Linked DNA regions of Drosophila melanogaster. The protein of the gene in region 1 interacts with the protein of each later gene in a pairwise test. Each region holds a gene or a part of one and is shown in the gene's direction. Other genes may lie near its edges.

Region 1 (6,162 bases):
TTGACAAAACTCTGTCGGCAGATGTGGCACTTGAAAGGCAGTGTTTCTTCATCGGAGTGAATCTCATACTTGGTATCATCGCCATCGGAGTCTACATCACCCGTTCGCTGATTTTCGTGATCCATTTCCAATTGCCAGCCCGCTTTGTAATCACTGCGATCGTGCAGAAACTTACAGCTGTCGCCAAAGCCGCAATATCCTGTTTCCTTGTAATCCTTGCATATATCCGGCTGATAATCCCACCTGACAGTGGCCCTAAGATGGGCAGGAGCCCTAATTGGGCCACTTCGTACCATTCCGGAGCTGGCATTCCCTGCCGCTGTATCCTGCTTCTTGTAGTACTGCGCATAGTTGTTAATTCCGCGATAGATCTTATCGTCCGCCTTGCCCTCCAGCTCTTCGTTGATTTTCAGAGCTCGCGCATGAATTGCCTGCGCATCGCGATCCAATTCTGTGTCCATTTCGTTAATCGATGTAGCTCCCTGATCTTGGGGTCCACTGGGCAGCGCCTCGCGTTTGGATTTGTACGCAATGCCCAGTTTATCATCGTCGGAGGCTGAGGATGAGCCATCATCACCAACTCCTCCCGCCTGTCTCTTTGCTTTGCTCATTGTCTTGGTGCTCTGGAAGTTGGGATTCGTGCGCTTTCGGCGGTTCTCGGCTCGCACCAGAGCACTGGCTTTGCCTTTGGTCTCTTCATCGCTGCTTTTTGCTGGAATATCAATAATATTTGCCCATTTACTTTGTTGGCGGTAAAATTAAGTTCCTACCAGATTCATCACTGCTGGTTTCCTTTTTGCGACGAATTCCAGCTCCCTTCTTGAGGTTCCGCTTCTTGAAGCCAAAGGACGAGGTGCTAGCCGCTTCTTCCGACATTCTCCGGCTTTTAAATTTATGTACTTATCTAGTAATTCACGTTAACAACAATTAACAATAGCAATTTCGCCAACTGGCGCTTCTTCTTCCCGGCTAGTGATGGTACTTGCGTAACAATCGTTATGGAGTTAGTATTTTTGTATGAAACGGGCACATTAAAATTCAATGTTTACTTATGAGGAATATATTCGTTTGTAATAATTGCAATTTTTACATATTTAATACATCATCAATATGTAATAATTAATAGATTTATATTAATTTAAAGAATTCTAGAAAATATTAACTCCTATGGGATCTACCCTTTTAATCATCGATACCAAGATGTTCTGAAAGCTTCCCACTTTTGGCGCTCTACACGCGGTCACACTGTTTTCTTATCGCTTGTTATTTTTAGATCGTCAAAAAACAAGTGCGTTTTTAAAAATTAATGGATTTCAGTTTTAGCTTACAAATTATTTACTCCGTTTCACCCCCAGAACATGACGCTCGAACAGCTGTCCGCAAATAAGTGCTTCGAGGGCGAGCAACGCGTGTATCGCCATCGCTCGGACACCTTGAAGTGCGACATGACCTTTGGCGTCTTCCTGCCGCCGGCCGCTTTGGAGGGTAAACCGTGTCCGGTGCTGTTCTTCCTCAGCGGACTGACCTGCACGCATGAGAACTTCATCCAGAAGAGCGGATTCCAGCAGCACGCCGCCCGCCACAACCTGATCGTCGTCAATCCGGACACTTCGCCCAGGGGCGTGGAAATTGCCGGCCAAGATGATGCATACGACTTTGGAAGCGGGGCTGGATTCTATGTGGATGCAAAGGAGGAGCCGTGGTCGAAGCACTACAAGATGTACAGCTATGTGACCCAGGAGCTGGTGGATGTGGTCAATGCCAATCTGCCCGTGGTTCCCGGTAAACGCGGTATATTCGGCCACAGTATGGGCGGCCACGGAGCCCTGATCTGCGCGCTTAAGAATCCCGGGCTGTACCAGTCGGTGTCCGCTTTTGCGCCGATTGCCAATCCCACCGAGTGCCCGTGGGGCAAGAAGGCCTTTGCCGGCTATCTGGGCTCCAATCCGGATGACTGGGCCCTGTGGGATGCCACGCATCTGGTGTCGCAGTACGAGAGCACTCCGCAGGAGCTCTTCATCGACCAAGGTGCAGCAGACAACTTCCTGGCCGGCAAGCAGCTGCTGCCGGAGAACCTGCTGGCTGCCGCAGATGGCAATGATCACATCCAGACCATCTTCAAGCAGCGCGAGGGATACGATCACAGCTACTTCTACATCGCCACGTTCGTCGCCGAACACATCGCCTACCATGCCGCCCTGCTCACAGCTTCCGCTTGATGATATTCCGCTTGTACATAATCGTTGGTTTCCACCGAAACCATAATTCAACGTAAATTTGGCAGTAAATAAACCAATTTCGACTGAGCTTCTAAAATGTATTCTTACATTCTTGACTTTAAACTTTGAACTTGGACTTTGAAAAACAAATATTTTTATTCATTCTAGGTGCCAATGTACAGAAGATTATACACAAATGGCGTGTACTTTGTTATTTCGGTTTTAAGTTCAGCAATTTCCTTTCACAAACAAAAACTTAAGTAATGGGTATTCAGCATTCGTCGAATTCCTAAGGACTTTTTCCCGGACTTGTGGTAAGGGTAAAAGCTCGCAACGTAGTAAAAGCTTTCCGGTTGTTGGTCCACGGCATGCTGGAAACTTTCCGCATCCTGGCATCCTGCGTACGATTCATTCATCAGTAGAAAAAACGCCGTCTGATGGAATAGATGTGCTAGTGACAGAGGGAACCGAACCGAACGGAGGTACCAAAAGGCGACATTCTCGACTCGTTTGGCGCCATATTTACTAGGACCAATCGGAGTCGCCAGCTCTGTATTTGCGTGACTGCGTGTGTGCGCGAGATAGTCCTGTTTTTTGGACCCCCCTTTGTTTGTGTAACTTCGCGCGCTTTTGTGTTTTATATACCAACGGGTCGGAAAATCGGGTACCAAAAAAAGGGATTTGAAAAGGCGTGAGATTTGCGGCCAGCTGCTGGACGACTGCCAGCGGACTGAAATCTTAATTAGCCATTTAATGGCAGTTGGCACACAACAAAGCCCCATGGTAAGCCCTTAGCCATATGGCCCATGTAAATCAATTTCAAACCGAGCTCAGATCTTGACATTCTGTCAGCGAGTCAGCTAGTCAGGTGTGGTATTGGTAGCACCTTCCCCAATTTTTATGTGCAACTGTACGACATGTTTTATGGCCGACGTTTTACTGCATGCTGGCATTTTTACACTTCCATCAGCACTCCATTTTTCACAGTTCAGAGTCAAGTTCACGCTCCGTATCCCTTCGCCATCCATCAAGTTTGTCGATTCTGCCACGGGTGCTGGGCTTCAAACTTATTTAAAGTATTTAAGCCTTGTTTTTTTCACTGGCCATCATTTGCATATTATGATTTGGCTATTGAATTTTATGGTTTTATTATCAAAGGGACTTTGCAGAACTGCTTTGGGCTCTTCTTAGACTTAGAATTGTTATTTCACTCATTATAAATTTTCCATTATTACTTTTGGGGCAATCGTACTTTTGGGCTAGAATTAAGCTTAAAGAAAAACAGTCTTGGTTTCTCATTACCAGAGCTTCATTTAAATTTCGAACACTTCTTTGGCGGATGGGATTGGTGGGACTCAAAGGCAAAAAGCCATGAACTTGATCTTTCAAAAGAGGTTGCAAAATGCTTTTGGCAGCTACGAAAACGTTCCTTTCTGTTCCTTGGCTGTCAAGAAAGAGATTACAACGAATTTTCCACTTTATGTTCGTTTGAGAAACGTTAAATTGTTCAAGCAAAGAAAATCTTGTTTTTTGTTAAAATATTCTTAGGCTAAGAAACATGGCCAAAGGCTTAAGATATCACATTTTCATATAGCTTGAATGTGTCATAAAATGAAATAACAGTCTACCCAAGGCAAATTTAAAATATTCTTTATTAAGATAAATCATCATAATTCGCACAAGCCCAATTCGAAATTAGCATTCAAGAACGATATTTCAAATTTTATATGACTAGTAAAGTATAACCTCAGTACAGTTTATTACCTAGCTGACCAAATTGCTTTACATTATGACAAATATTTCGCTGAACGTATTGATTACTTATAAACATAATTTTTAAATTATTATTCAACACATATTTGACACGCTTCTTAATTGAAATTTGGACAAAAAAACGAAATAGAAACCAACAAAATTCAATGCACACGTGAAAATTATTTACGCGACCAGCGTAGAATGTTCAATTTGTACTGCCAAAATTACTTTTATTTTTTATTGCCATTCTCCTCTTCTCATTTTTCAGTTTATTACGAGTGGATTAATTTTTTTCGCCGGATATTAATTTACGTTATTTAAGTAAGAAGCGGTAATAAAGCCACCTCGTTTGCTGGCAAAAAAAATTTAGATTTCTTACGCCCGTTTAAATATCAACTTCTGAAAAGTTCGGTATCGTGCTACCATTAAACAGCATTTAACTATTAAACGCGTCGTACTAAAATCTTGTGTAAGAATCGTTTACGCTCATTCAAAGCGGACCGCCATATAAAATGCAATATTTCCATTTTTATAGTGCTTACTGATGCTTGAGGCACTCGGCTCACTTTTTATTTTTCCATTATTCAAGGAAAAGACGCAAGAAAAGCGCGCTAAGACAGTAAAAGCGTCGATTTCCCTTGAATCCCTTGCAATTGGAAAAGGTGATGCAATACACATGAAGCTGGTAAGTTTTTGGGCTTAAATTTGTTGCCCCACACGTGTACAGTTATTAAACATCTTGGTCGAGAAGTTTTCCCCGGCCTAATTACTGGTAAGCCACTTCGACCACCGCACCAAATCCCCGGAGGATCGAAATATTGTGTACTGAGGTGGGCAAATACAAGTGTTTACCTGAGCAGTTCAAGGGGAAAACAGATTTGTTTGGCAAGACCTTAAAAGAGAAAATTCCAATAAACCGAACGTAAAATCAATAAAAGTCAATATAAGAAAAGCGAGAGGAAGAAACTTGTCATTCGTTTGCGAATACGTAAGTTCGGAAGAATCTATTTGAGGAAAAATATCCGCTTATTTGTCAAAGTTGGTCGTTTGGTGAACAAGATATATTTGCATTAGGTATCGATTAAATTGAAGTAAATTTGCTGATTATATACAAAAAAATATATTCAATATCTTAGCGAACATATGTACTTCGTATAAAGAGTATACCGAAAGTATGTATTTGTAGCCTTTTCCCAATTAAATGGCATCGGCACAATATAAATAAGAGTCGTTCTAAAATAAAGCATCCATTAGCACATCAATTAACTTTATGTACATATTGAACCTGGGAAACCACTCACATAGCACGTGCGTTCTAGTGTGGACCTTATTCGAACGTTTATCACGCATACGCAGTGTTGACACATATTATTAAATTCCCATGCTTGCTGTGCGTCAAATGTTACTGTCACACTCTAATACTCGTAAGCCGATTAGATTTTAAAACAAATATGAATATATTTATAATGTTTACATTGTTTTCCACATATGAGTTTACACAAATTTATGAGATCGTAATGAACAAGTTTTAAGCATTTCATTTAGATTTTATCATCCAAAATATTACAGTTTTAAGATCTTATATACACTTTAGATAGCTCTTTAAAATTGTAATTTCGTTTAAGTTGCTCTTACTAATAATTCACACCATAAAATCGTATTTATCCACAAGAAATAAACAATTTCATTTCTTAATTTTTGTATATCCTTTTAAATGTCAAGGCAACAATGACTTTTAAAAGTCTATCCCAGAACCCACACACTTTGCGCAAATGTGTATGCAGTTCTTCATGTGATAAAAGAAAATGGAGAGATCGAATCGGTTTTCCATTGAAACAAGACGTGGGTGTGGGTATCTCTGACCCGACTGACAATTAGGCCAATCATGAGGAATCACTTGCGATGACAAACGCCCGGGCCACGTGCATACGAGCAAATTGATGTATTGTTTTTGGGACGCCGAGTGGCCCATCAGAAGGCATCAGAGGACTCTCGGCGAAGAGCTGGGTGAGAAGTAGGCTCCATGGTCGTAGGGACTGCGGTGCTGGGCACGCAAATTCAACGGAAGCGTACGCCATCCAAATAATTTAGACAATGGCACTCGTGCGCACACGCCATGCCCAGTAAACTGGATGTGGCGTACTCCACGCACACACACTCAGCCAAAGCATCGAAAACCGTCACCATA
Region 2 (6,062 bases), on another chromosome or scaffold:
TCAATTTGCAATCGATGTACCTGTGTTTAACTGAAGTGGTTAAATGTTACCGGTAGATAATTGAGACAGTAGAGTACTGTTACCAAGAAAAAACAAGTTTATTTTTGGTGAATTTCGCATATAAATACATTTATGTATATACATACAGATATGTTTTATACTTAAGTGAAAAGCCTAGAAGGAATAGCTGAAAATCTGCAATTAAGCGAAGATATCGAAATTAATTCTGAGCGGGGTCTATATAGCAATATTCTTAAGCGAAGTGCTTTTTAATCGTACAGATTGGAGAACATTAAAAATTCTGTTACGATTGTGCTAAATATACGCAAAGTAGGACGAAATATATTCGTAAATAAAACTCGCAATATAGATGTGTAGCTCCATAGGTGTGCAATGTAAATGAACAGGAAGAGACTCATATAATATATTTAATGTTATATAGAAATACCCCAAAGGATCAAATATTAATTCAAAAATTAGAAACGTTTTCCCAGTGCTGTAAATTATATGAGAAGCCTATTTTGAAGAGCATTTGCTTAGTACAAGTGAAGAAAAGTATATGAATATTTAAATAAGTAATGATAAAAATAACAAATTCATAATTATATGGAATCTGTAATATGTATACATAATATAATAATATAATATGTATACATTCTCACGTTTAAAGCAAAGATTATTTAATAAAGTAAAGAATAAACCGGAACTCCAACACTTTTGAAAAATTCTGTGATAATTCTTCATATTTTTATTAGTCTTGTAAATTACTATGGATTTGCCAAAAAACTTTTTGCCTCGCCTACTTCAACGTCCAAAGACCGCCCAAAACTGCCACACCTACACTTTTAAAATATTTTTAGAATTTTCCGTTTTATTATTTGTCTTGCCAAGTTTTATCGGTATACAAAACAATGTGGCCACGACCCTTCTTTCACCTACAAAACGAACAAAACTGTCACGCCAATAATTTTTAAATTTTTTCTCATTTTATTCACCAAAATCAATCGATATCCTGGAAAAATTATAAAATTTGGCGATCGAATTTCCACTAGCCGAGTAAAGGGTATCTGATGAGCGGGAAATCGAGTATAACATTTTCTCTTGTTTACATATATCCTTTTACACTTTTACCACTTTTCATCCCCAAGCATCAAATTTTTCAAAGTCCTGGTATGAATACAGAAAAAATCCTATGATATACTCTTTTAATGGGCAAAATGTATTTATAATATCATTAGGTTTTTAATTTAAAACCATTCAACAATGGTTCACTTCTATTTTACCCATTACTCGTAGAGTAAATGGGTATACAATATTGGTTGAAAAGTATGTAACAGGCAGAAGGAAGCGTTTCCGACTATATAATTTATATATATTCTTGATCAAGATCAAAAGCCGAGTTGATCTAGCCATGTCCGTGTTGCCACGCCCACAAGAATCACAAAATTTCCAAGCCCACGTGTAACGTGTAACGTGTAATATAACATAAACCGATTCCACCTTATTCTTGCCAAGAAGGTTGGTTTAAGGGCTAAATCAAAAGCAAAAGGAGAGCTAAAACACGGTGGAAATTTTTTAAAGCGTTGTTGAGTAGAGAACGTGCTAAGTTATATATATTTCATAAACCACCGCGAAAGCGAAGAGGATTTATCTAATGGGAGGAAGGTATATATATCATGTAAATGTTCCTGATTCTCTTTTCTTGATCGGAATCTCCAGACGACTCTATATGCCTATGTCCGACTGCATTCGTTTTCTTGGCATTTCATTTGATGTCATCAGGGACTTATGTATATGCAAAAATTGAATACAATCCTGTTTTAATTTTCACTACAAACATAGTTTTATGACAGTAATCGAATCTCCTTTTAGCTAAACTTAACATTGCTTCTTTTATAATCAATCTGGGTTATACAATTTTTATCTACGATTCGAATCCAGTCTACTTTAGTAAAAAATTATGGCAACTCCCGACTTCTGTATACTGCAGTATGGCAGCTCCCGAACTGTGTAGATGTTGGTATGGCAACTCAAAATCACCTGCAATTGCTACTGAACATTCATATTAAACATAATTACGAAAAGACCAACATTAAAATAGCGTTTGTATTCGGCAATACAAGATTTATTGCTGAGAGGGGAAAAAGCGGTTCTAGCATCAACACGTAATAAAAAGAAAATTAACCAAAATTGATTTTCTTGAAATAATGTTTCCAGCACCGGGATAAGATAACAAATAGTGGAGTCATTCAGCAATCGTTGATTGGCGTGAGGTATCGATGACCATGCGCTATCGATACCTCCGTTGGAATTATCACATCGTAGCTCTACTGTTTGTCAAGTCTCACTTGAAAACATCCATCGAAAGTGCTGTTGTTCTGATTAGAGCGCGGGTGCGAGTTAATCAAGCGAACCGTTGCGTCCTGGTCCTAAATTTGAAAGGTATAAATATTTGGGTGAAACCAATCAGCTGCAATAGATGATGCGGTCCCTTGCGCCATACAAATTGGTATTAGTATTGCCCTAGAGGAGTAATTGTGTGTATGTATGTTGGTGGGAGAGTGGAAAGTGGTTTAAGTGAGGGATGCGACCGAACAATATGCACTTCTCCCTGTGCTACCTGAGATCTAGAGTGTGGAGAGTGATTCTGTTGACTAGTTTGCGTGCTTGCGGCAAGCAGGAGCTGCGGTCCGGTGTGATACATGCCTCGCGAAGTTGCTCCAAGTCGTAGTGGATGGTGCTCCAGGTGCTGGGATGCGCCTAATTGGAGATACACAAACGGTCAGTCAAAAGCTCGTGAAGTGTGGGTAATGCCTATATATATCCGCCACCCGCCTACAAGCGGGTTCCGGAAGTAGGCGACGGCACGCAACCATCAACCAGAAGCATCATTATGCACACATGCAGCTGGACATGGGGAAATCCTCTCAATAAAGCCGCTAGGCGGACATTGATTCATATGTTAATACACGTGTATGAATATGACAATTGGTGAGAGCGGGAACCACCAGTTACGCACAGTGGCCAGATCGCACTAGCGCACTATTCGTCAAGGAGTCAGGATTTGGTTGTCGTCTCAAATAAATAGCTAACTTTGTTAGAGATAAATGGTTAGGTTTAATCAAACTAATCGTTTAATTTCAAGGTAACATAAACTCATATTTTGCTTAAACTAAAAACGGTTTAATATAAATAAGTCTGACAGGACCGTAAAACTGCTCTCCAAATTCGGTCGTCTGGTACCTGGGCGCAAATCAATTAAGGAACTATTAACTCAGCAATGGGAACACTACCAAACACTGTACAATGTAGTAGCAATATTAAATATAATAATATAATAATAAACATGGATGCTTGCTTCTGCAAGCTAAAGTATTTAAAAAGTATTAGAAATGGTCGGTAATCGTAGAGTAAGAATTCACTTAAAAGGATGTTACAGGTAGAAGAACGCTTTTTCCACCTTATAAAGTATTTCTGTATGTATTAACACTTAACACATACGTATATCCAAACTGGTTTATTACGCAGTACTAAGAAATATACGGCTGACGTGTGTATTTTACCCTACATTGTCATCCGTGTGGCAGGTGTAGCCACTTTTTACGCAGCTGACACTATTTCTAAGCTATCGATTTTGTCTTCTATTCCTTTCCCATTGCTTTGAATGCCGATACTTGGCCTATTGCTGGTGGTGGGGTGGCACTAATAATTTAAAAACCGACCTATTTCAGTGCAGAGTTCAAACTCATTCAAACTACACAACTATTACAGCAAGCGCAATATACATACATATGTATGTATGTACATATGTATTCCTGTCCTTCCTAGTTTTCGTTCTCCATGTCCGTCCGTATGAAGGTGGAGATCTGAGGAACTATAAAACCTACAATATTGAGATTAAGCATATAGATTTCAGAGGCATAGTTTGTTTACTCATGTTGCTACGCCCACAAACCCTGCCAAAGCTGCCACGCCCACACCATTGGAAAATGTGTTGATATTTATATATCCGTTACTCGTAGAGTCAAAGGTTATGATCAGGATCAATAGCCGAGTCTATATGTCCCTGTCTGTCTGCTCGAATGTCTATGCGTCCATATGAACGCCGAGATCTCAAAAACTATAAAAGCTAGAAGGTTGAGATTAAGCATAAAGATTCTAGAGACATAGGCGCAGTGCAAGTTTATTTCAAATCACCCAAAACCGGTACGCCCACTGTTTGTTTTGATATATTTTCCTATTTTTATACCCGTTACTCAGATTAAAAGGTGATACTAGATTCGTTGAAAAGTGTTTCCGACCAAATCAAGTATATATATCCTTGATCAGGATCCATAGCCGAGTCAATCTGGACATGAAAGTCGAGACCTCAGGAACTATAAAAGCTAAAAGGCATACAGATTCTAGAAACATAGACGGAGCGCAAGTTTGACCCATGTTGCCACACTCACTCTAACGCCACGCCTACACTTTTGAAAAATGTGTTGATATTTGTTCACATATGTATTAGTCTTGTAAATTTTATCGATTTTGCCAAAAACGTTTTTGCCACGCCCACTCAAACCGCACAACCGGTCACGCCCACACTTTTGAACAATTTTTAAATTTTTTTTCATTTTATTTCCCAATATCTCTTGATATCCCAAAATAAATGATACTTTCGCGTTCTCATTCACACTAGCTGAGTAACGGGTATCTGATAGTCGGGGAACTCGACTATTCTCGCATTCTCTCTTGTTAGTTTTGTAAATTTCTGTCGATTTGATAAAAAACTTTTTGCAATGCCCACTCTAACGCACAAAACCCGCCGAATCCTGTCGCGAACCCACTTTTGGAAAATATTTCGATCTTTTTTCATATTTTTAATAGTCTTTTCTTTCCAAATTCTATCGATATGCCAACAAGGATGTTAAATGCTTAAGCTGAGTAACGGGTATCTGATATTCGAGGAACTCGTTCATTCTTGCTTTTTAAATTCATTTAACAGTTTTTTAATGCAAAATTTGTTTAAATTAATGTATTTTGTATATACTCGTAATAGTTGACATTGTAAAGGTTCGGTAAAGTTGTACATTGAAATAACTCCGGAAAAAAGTTTTTAAAACTTCTTCAATACAGGAAATCCATATCGTTAGCCGGGAATAGCTTACACATACAGAATAACATACAGGAATAATGAAAAGACCGGTGTGTTTGAATCTTGTTCTATGATTATCACTTTAACAGAGTACGGATAAAAATGAATACTAAACGTATACGAGCTTAAATAGCGTTAGGCAGTTGGTTTATTTTTCTTCGCGTCTTATAGCATGTAGTATGTGCATATATCGAGGGTACACTGTACCTATAAGTACACAGCAACACTTAGTTGCATTGCATAAATAAATGTCTCAAGTGAGCGTGATATAAGATCACCCATTTATGCTTTAAGCTAAGTCAGCATCCCCACGCTGGCCGCTGGCCATATATGCGCATAAGCTCTCTCTCTCTCTCTCTTATACATATATATATACGCTGCTCTTCTGCCGCTGTCGACGGCGGCGCAGTCGCAGTATTTAGGTAAGATTAGACACTCTGTAGAGGTTAAGCGGGCAGAACCGTTTCTGCTACTCGAAGAGATAAGAAGAAATAAAAAGGTGGCCTGACGGCTGCACCCAACTGCAAGGAAAACACGTGTTCTCAATTGGTGGCATATATTGGTTTATTACATGGCGACCGTGAGGCAGGAGCCTGCGATCTGAGGACTACTGAGGAAATGCTGCTAATATTGCCGATTTGATTTGGGAATTCTAAACAGCGACAACAGGTGTGAGAGGCAGGCCGCCCCTTACACCAGTGCGGGAGACCTAGAGACGGGACACTGATGAAAAAAAAAAAGAAACAAAAATACTGAGTGAGTAGAGTGTGGTAATGGGCAAACGCGGATGTCAGGAAATCAAAAATAAAGGTATAGCACATATTAAGTGGCTATGATATACAAATAAAACACCGCCCCCATGGGCAACGGCACAGAAATTAACTGCCGAATTAGACTTTCTGAAAGAAAACCTCCAGCAAAGAAA
Region 3 (6,766 bases), on another chromosome or scaffold:
CCATTGGGTTAATGGGACTGCTCTGCTGCAATGTGGCCCACGATCACTTTGAGGGTAGGGCCTCTTGAATTTTGTTTTTGAAAACAATTCCAATTTTTAAATTGCTATATTCAAACAGATCACGTTGGTATGATGCCATTACATGTGGATGAGAAGCATCATATGCAGTTTCTGTATCTCTGCTTCTCATACTTGTTTGGACGTTTTACGACGACTCCAAATCTCTGGGCATTTCTGTTCTTTGGCATGATATTTTTATCAGAACTATGTGCCTTGGTAAGTTTACATATGCACCCATTTAAGAATTTTTATCTAATTTAATTGTATCTTTCAAAGATCATTCAAATGATGTCCGTTATTACTGCCTTGTTCGATGAGTTCGAGACATTGCGTTCAAGAAGAATTCTGGTAATTTCATCGCTAGTCTTCTGCCTCACAGCTTCCTCTGTATATTTTTGTACTCAGGTGAGTTTAAATTCTTTTCATTTCTGAGAGCATACTGTAATACATAATTATCCATTTCAGTTGGGCTTTAGTCAGCTGACTCAGCTGCCAAATTTGGCAGTGTTTACACACTTGCTTATTTCGGGAATCCTTGTGCTGATGACCACTTGGGTTTATGGACGCGTTCGTTTCCAGTGCGACTTGCAGTTTATGTTAGGCAAAACGATCTCAAGTTTCAAAATTTTCTTTATACGCTTTGCCACGCCCATTTTTCTGGGACTGTGTCTGGTGAGTAGTGGTTATTATTATAAAATTATTTGTATATAGTTAATGACTGATATTATTGGAATTTCTTGCAGTTTCAACTAACCTATTTATTTACGCGTGATCGCATACACGATGTCCTGATTTATGTGAGTCAGGGCTTGATTCTCCTAACGGCCATATCTTATATGGTTTACAAGGTATGTCGGACGAATGGCGATTGGCGCCAGCGATTGCAACAGTGCCTCGCACCACATGACTGGCATCCGGTGGATGCGGACAACCGGCGATTCTACGAGGAAATCATGGGCATCTCGGAGATGCTGGTTATAGATGCCAATGCCAACACCACATAGTGCCTAAATATCGAATACTCCCTAGATCAAAACTCAATACTTACAGCGTCGTCACTTGACAAATGAACTGAACTGAACTCACTTTTATTATACACCCATATGCGGTCACATTCACACATGCAAAAAATACAATAACAAACACGCACACTAGTATATAAATAAGCGGATCCATTGGCAATGGCGATTGTTAGTTGTTGTAATGAAGTTGTACTGATATTTTCCAAAAGCTAGCTATAGTGAACAATATACTGGTGATATTTAGTAGTTTCCTACTAAAATGTTCAACAAGCTTCGGCCAAAAATATTGTTATGAACTAATAAAATTTTACCTTTTAGGCATTGAAAATGTTGAAGTCTTTTTTTGAAGTTGGTAAACGTATAAGGAAAAGAGTTAAATTTATGATATACGGCTGTCAGCACTTTAAACTATTTAATGTCGCACTAATAATAATAATAATTTTGGAATTTTAGTTATAGAATATATGACGTTTAGAGTAGATTGTTAGAAGCATGTTTTTAAATGCATGCAAAATAATAATAGTTTGAAAAATATATGAGGTAATTGTATATTATTACCTAAAACTAATCGCTAATAACAAACAAACATAAGAAAAAACAAATATTAAGACATTATCAATGCGTTATTGAAATCAACAGCCAGGGCGTTATGGGGTTTACTTGCTTTTGCATTGCTGTCTGAGTTTTCCCCCAGATTTGATAACTTTGCGGCTGTCTTGTTTGTCATCCCATTTCCCGAGCACGACCATATCAGTTTCCAGTTCCAAAATCGAAATGAACTTGGCAATGCACGACGATAGGCGCACATAAGAGAGACAGGCACAGATATAAGAGCTCTAATAATCTGAATTTAAAGCAAAATAACAATAAATGCAAATTTATGGTCGAGATCGGAAATACACTTACAAAACGTGTAATAACAAATTTACAATTATTTTGATAACCGAAAGCTTGAAACTATAGATAACTCGCTTAGATATATATTTTCCTAGCATATCTTTATTTTGACAACAGATCTGTTTGAAATTAGAGGGAGGTTTCAAATGAATCTCGGTATAAAGATACCCCACTTCCATAGTAATAACTGTGTGATTAAAGACCAAGTGTGCATCGCCTAAGTTGGGGTATCTCATTCAAGAGGGATGAGCTAAACAGAGGCCTGCTGTCGGAATCGGATTCAGTTTGCCGGCATCGGTTCTACTAATTAGTCCGTCAATTTAGAGTAAAACGCTCGCGGATCGGTTGCAGAAAAAAAATATATATATACTAATATTACCTCTGCGGGAGTGTAAAATTAGATCGTAGTTATATATACTTATTTACAAAATTTGCTTAAATCCATTCTCGCCCACATTTTGGCGGTAATATTGTGGGTAGTTCAACATGGTATATGAAACATCGTATGATACCGGGCATAAACCCTTTTCCCCCGATCTGAATCGAGGAAAATGGGATAAGCCAACGGACTTTATGTTCGCCTGCTTTGGATTAGCCTTGAAGTTGGATGTCTTTGTGGCATCGTTTTGGATGTTCTTCGACATGGGCAGTAAGTAACGCAAGGGCGACTACGTATATTATATTGCTGATAAGGTTCGGATTTAGACTAATCTGTGGAGGGGCGGTGCTCTGCTAATGTTCTCTTACCTTCTCATCTGACATACATACAAAACAATGCCTAATTCTGTCGATATTTATGTATTTAATGTAATAATTGTGTCTCTTTATACAGCACAAGAGATAACAGTTTATACATCAGAATTTAATCTTTATCTTTGAATGCATTTATTTAAATACACTATTTGCTTGGACCAGTTCTTGGAATACTGCCGTACTTTGTATATATGTCCATTTACTTGGTTCCCATCATGGTCATTCACTCCTTCATGGGTCAGTTCTCCAGCAGTGGATTCATCTCCGCCTTTCGCCTGTCGCCTTTCTTTAAAGGTACGTACGTAACCGAGAAGTTTAAACAGATATTAAATATTGATCGAAATATCAATTTCAGGCATGGGATATGTGAGTGGATTTTTAACTATCTCCATGCTAATTTACTATAGCATTTTTGCTGCGGTTCCACTTCTGTTCATAATAAACTCATTTCGACCCACTTTACCTTGGAGCTGTGAGGGCTTGAGTTCTTGGCACAATGGAAGTGCAACGCTATCTAGTGTATGAAATTTGTGTATGACTAAATTGAATTGAAGACTAAGTACATTTTTTATATTTAAGTCTTGTAATAAGACACTGATCTTGGAGGACTTTTCGGAATACAACAGATCTCACCAGCTGCTCCATGTACCATCCGTGCTCTATTTTCAGTAAGTGCTCCTATTTATATAGCAATAAAACATTACCTAATTAATCCAATGCAAATATTTTAATATTATTTTAAGAATTGTTTAAAAATAATTTCTTTTTAACTCTATGTTTACAGAAATCACTATGATAGCATGCAACAGGATGCGGTTCCGGATTGGTATAAGGATTACGAGTTGTCTTGGCATTTTGTTGGCCTATTCGCAATCATTTGGGTTGTGATTGCATTTATTTTTTATAAATTCTCAGAGACGGCCAAGTTTGGAAAACTTATACGCTACATGGTGATTGTTACCCTGGTTCTTCTTTTAGTGTGCTTTGTGCGATTCCTGTTCCTTCCGGGAGCTCTTAACGGGCTCCACAGATATGTGACTCCAAAGGCAAGTGACATGGCCATGGGAGTAGTGTCCACATTCATCATGGTTCTTCATGCATTCGGAGCTGGTTGGGGCAGTGTAATAACTCTGTCCAGTTTCAACGGTTTCAAGACTGACATCATGTCGTATAGTTGGATTATTTCCTTTGGACAGATCTTCATTTATATCATGTTTGGCATGGTTTCCTTTATGCTGGAACACTACTTTAATGGTAATAGCACTTTATAGATTTGCAATATCTTTACTGTATTGAAGTTATCCCTTTCAGAACTATCCGATGTTGATGATAACGGACATGTTTTGAGCCATTGGCTGCTATATTTGTCAAGTGCTTCTGCCTTGTCCACAATGGCTTGGCCAAACCTATGGACTTTTATATACTATTCTATGCTTTTAATTGCTGCTCTAATTGTGATGGTGATGATAATCTACACAATTAATTTTTATTTTTCACGCTACTAAACTTAAATAATTTTATTTTCAGACGACGCAAATCTTCACGGTTTTGCAAAGTTTGTTTGATGAGTTCGAAGTACTTAGAGTGAGAAAACAAGAGGTGACCTTTGGGCTAATTGGAGGTATTGCACTCTGCTCCTTTTACTTTTGCACCAATGTAAGTACTTAAGTTTACACAAAAAAGATATATTATTAAGAAATATTTTAAACAATTTTCCGTTTCTAGCATGGCATTATTTTCTTTTCGGCCTTGGGTCTTGATGCCATTTTCTCACATAGTTTGCTGCACTTACTGCTCCTTTTGGTGGTTTTGTGGATCTATGGTCGCGAACGATTCCAGCGAGATATTGAGTTCATGTTGGGCCAGCCCTTTGCCTCCTGGAAGGTTTTCATACTCCGCTTTATAGCTCCAATAATTTTAGTCATTTGTCTGGTTAGTTAGTTAGTTAGTTGCTTGTTGCTTTGAATAATCATATTCTTTTAACTAACTAGCTCGCGGGAATTGCTCTGTCCATATCGGAGCACTCTTATTCCACAACAGTGGTCTTCGTGATGTCAATTGTCCTCGTGGTTTTGCCCATTCTGGCCATTCCTGGATATGGATTTTACTACCTCTACCAGAGCACGGGCACCTTTTGCGAACGCTTTAAACGCACCTGCCGACCCACCGATTGGTATCCGGTTGAGATGGAGCACCGCCAGCAGTACGAGGAAGCTGTGGACAACACGGAGATGACCCACCAACTCTTCGAGGTTACTGAGGAGGTCAACTAGTTACTGATGCACTTAGAAATGTACTAAATATAAATATATGAGTAATTTTAATGCGTATTTAAAAAAAGGTATGCATATATATACAATCATATTGTGAAAGGTGGAAATGCTACACTTATTGCACTATGCTTACAGCAATGGGTTTTACAGCGTTTATCTCACCTGAATCGATCAGGTTCACACGTGTGACTGTCCAGAGAAACGTAGATATCTCGGAAAAGTTAATAAAGTTGAGCTTAAAAAATCTGTGACGTCCACAATTATAATGCTTACATAGTTTGTCTATCGAGAGAGAGAGAGAGCTTTTAAAAACGTGTAATTATTAATGTAGTTATTGATTAATTATGGTTATAAGCAAAGTACTCTTATTGACGTCATGTTAGTGTATAGAAATGCCTTTTAATTTCAGAATGCCACTTCGGTGACTCACTACTTTTAGGAACGGTATTAGTTTCATTGAGATGTTTGTTTTAACATATCCAAATTAATATACATCATATTACATTAAATTATTAGGGATCTTCTTACTGTCTGTTTGAACTTGTTCACATTACATAGTATTACAAAGTAATACCGACTATTTATTCAAAAAATTATGCTTAACATTATTTCTTAAAAGTGTATTTGATGGCCGATCTAGTGTGAATGGTCCGGGATAGGCTATGAGCATCTCAGTCCAGTGGAATCAGCTACACTGCGGTTTATCAGCGGAATCGGATTTAGTTCGTCCGCATCGCTGCTACTAATTAGTTCGTCAATTTAAAACGCTCGCGAAATGTTTGTTGTTTGCCAAAGCTTTTAATAATAAGTACCTCCATCGGCGTGTGAAATTGGATATATTTCTTTTTATACAAAAGTTTTTCAAATTCCTTTGCTCACACAATTTACCGGGCTATACTAACGTCACAAAATGATATATGAAACATCGTATGATAGTGGGCACAAACCCTTTTCCCCCGACTTGAAGAGAGGAAAGTGGGATAAGCCCACCGACTATATATTTGCCTGCTTTGGATTAGCCCTTAAACTGGATATATTTGTGGCCTCGTATTGGTTCTTCTTTGATATGGGCAGTAAGTATTAAAAACAGAGGTATCTATAGGTATAGGGCATATATGCTCCAAGGTTAGACTATTCATTTTAGGGGCGTTGATTGTAAAATGTAAATTTCCTACGCTCTGATCAGATAAGAGTAATAAATATAATTTAATTAATGTAAATGCCTGTTAAAAATAGTAGCAACACTGAAATTTTCTGGATTCTTGCCTTCCTAAGTTTTTGGGATGCTGCCGTACCTAGTTTACATGGTGATATATTTGGTTCCAATCATGGTCATTCATTCCTTCATGGGCCAGTTCTCAAGCAGTGGGTTCATCTCCGCCTTCCGGCTGTCACCGTTTTTTAAAGGTATGTTAAAAGGAAAAAACTAAATAATTGGCTTAAAGTTTATTTTGTATTGTAGGAATGGGATATGTTAGCGTTTTCCTGACCATCAGCATGTTGATTTACTACAGCATCTTTGCTGCAGTTCCTCTGCTCTTCATGATCAACTCCTTCCGACCTACCTTGCCATGGAGTTGTGAAGGTTTTAAGTCGTGGTACAATGAATCGGATGGAAAAATGACAGTAAGAAAATAACAACATATACTAAAGTAATAAAGGCAACTTGCTTTGCCTTCTAGACATGCAATATGACAATCAGTGAGGATCTTACGGATAACTCTGATAACAACACGGATTTTCACAGACCACACTTTCATG

What was found. Proteins that work in one complex are often made in the same cells at the same time.
Region 2: the proteins of CG17193 (region 1) and Tsp39D interact in a two-hybrid assay, tested with the Drosophila melanogaster proteins (one large-scale study listed by BioGRID).
Region 3: the proteins of CG17193 (region 1) and CG13795 interact in a two-hybrid assay, tested with the Drosophila melanogaster proteins (one large-scale study listed by BioGRID).

What each region holds. Positions count from the first base shown.
Region 1 is NT_033777.3:20,052,568-20,058,729, reverse strand, and holds the start of CG17193 (uncharacterized protein), read left to right. Parts: upstream 1-2,632; 5' UTR 2,633-3,002; intron 3,003-4,639; exon of another isoform or gene 4,640-4,659; intron 4,660-6,162. Other genes in the region: mdlc (midlife crisis), read right to left, coding at 1-712, 771-876; CG4390 (uncharacterized protein), read left to right, coding at 1,356-2,219.
Region 2 is NT_033779.5:21,342,295-21,348,356, forward strand, and holds the start of Tsp39D (tetraspanin 39D), read left to right. Parts: upstream 1-2,312; 5' UTR 2,313-2,442; intron 2,443-6,062.
Region 3 is NT_033779.5:7,721,795-7,728,560, reverse strand, and holds CG13795 (uncharacterized protein), read left to right. Parts: upstream 1-2,262; 5' UTR 2,263-2,465; coding exon 2,466-2,628; intron 2,629-2,894; coding exon 2,895-3,026; intron 3,027-3,087; coding exon 3,088-3,251; intron 3,252-3,311; coding exon 3,312-3,400; intron 3,401-3,516; coding exon 3,517-3,986; intron 3,987-4,043; coding exon 4,044-4,192; intron 4,193-4,259; coding exon 4,260-4,388; intron 4,389-4,457; coding exon 4,458-4,664; intron 4,665-4,723; coding exon 4,724-5,005; 3' UTR 5,006-5,516; downstream 5,517-6,766. Other genes in the region: CG13796 (uncharacterized protein), read left to right, coding at 1-54, 119-276, 337-465, 526-732, 804-1,064; CG13794 (uncharacterized protein), read left to right, coding at 5,916-6,078, 6,281-6,412, 6,468-6,631, 6,688-6,766.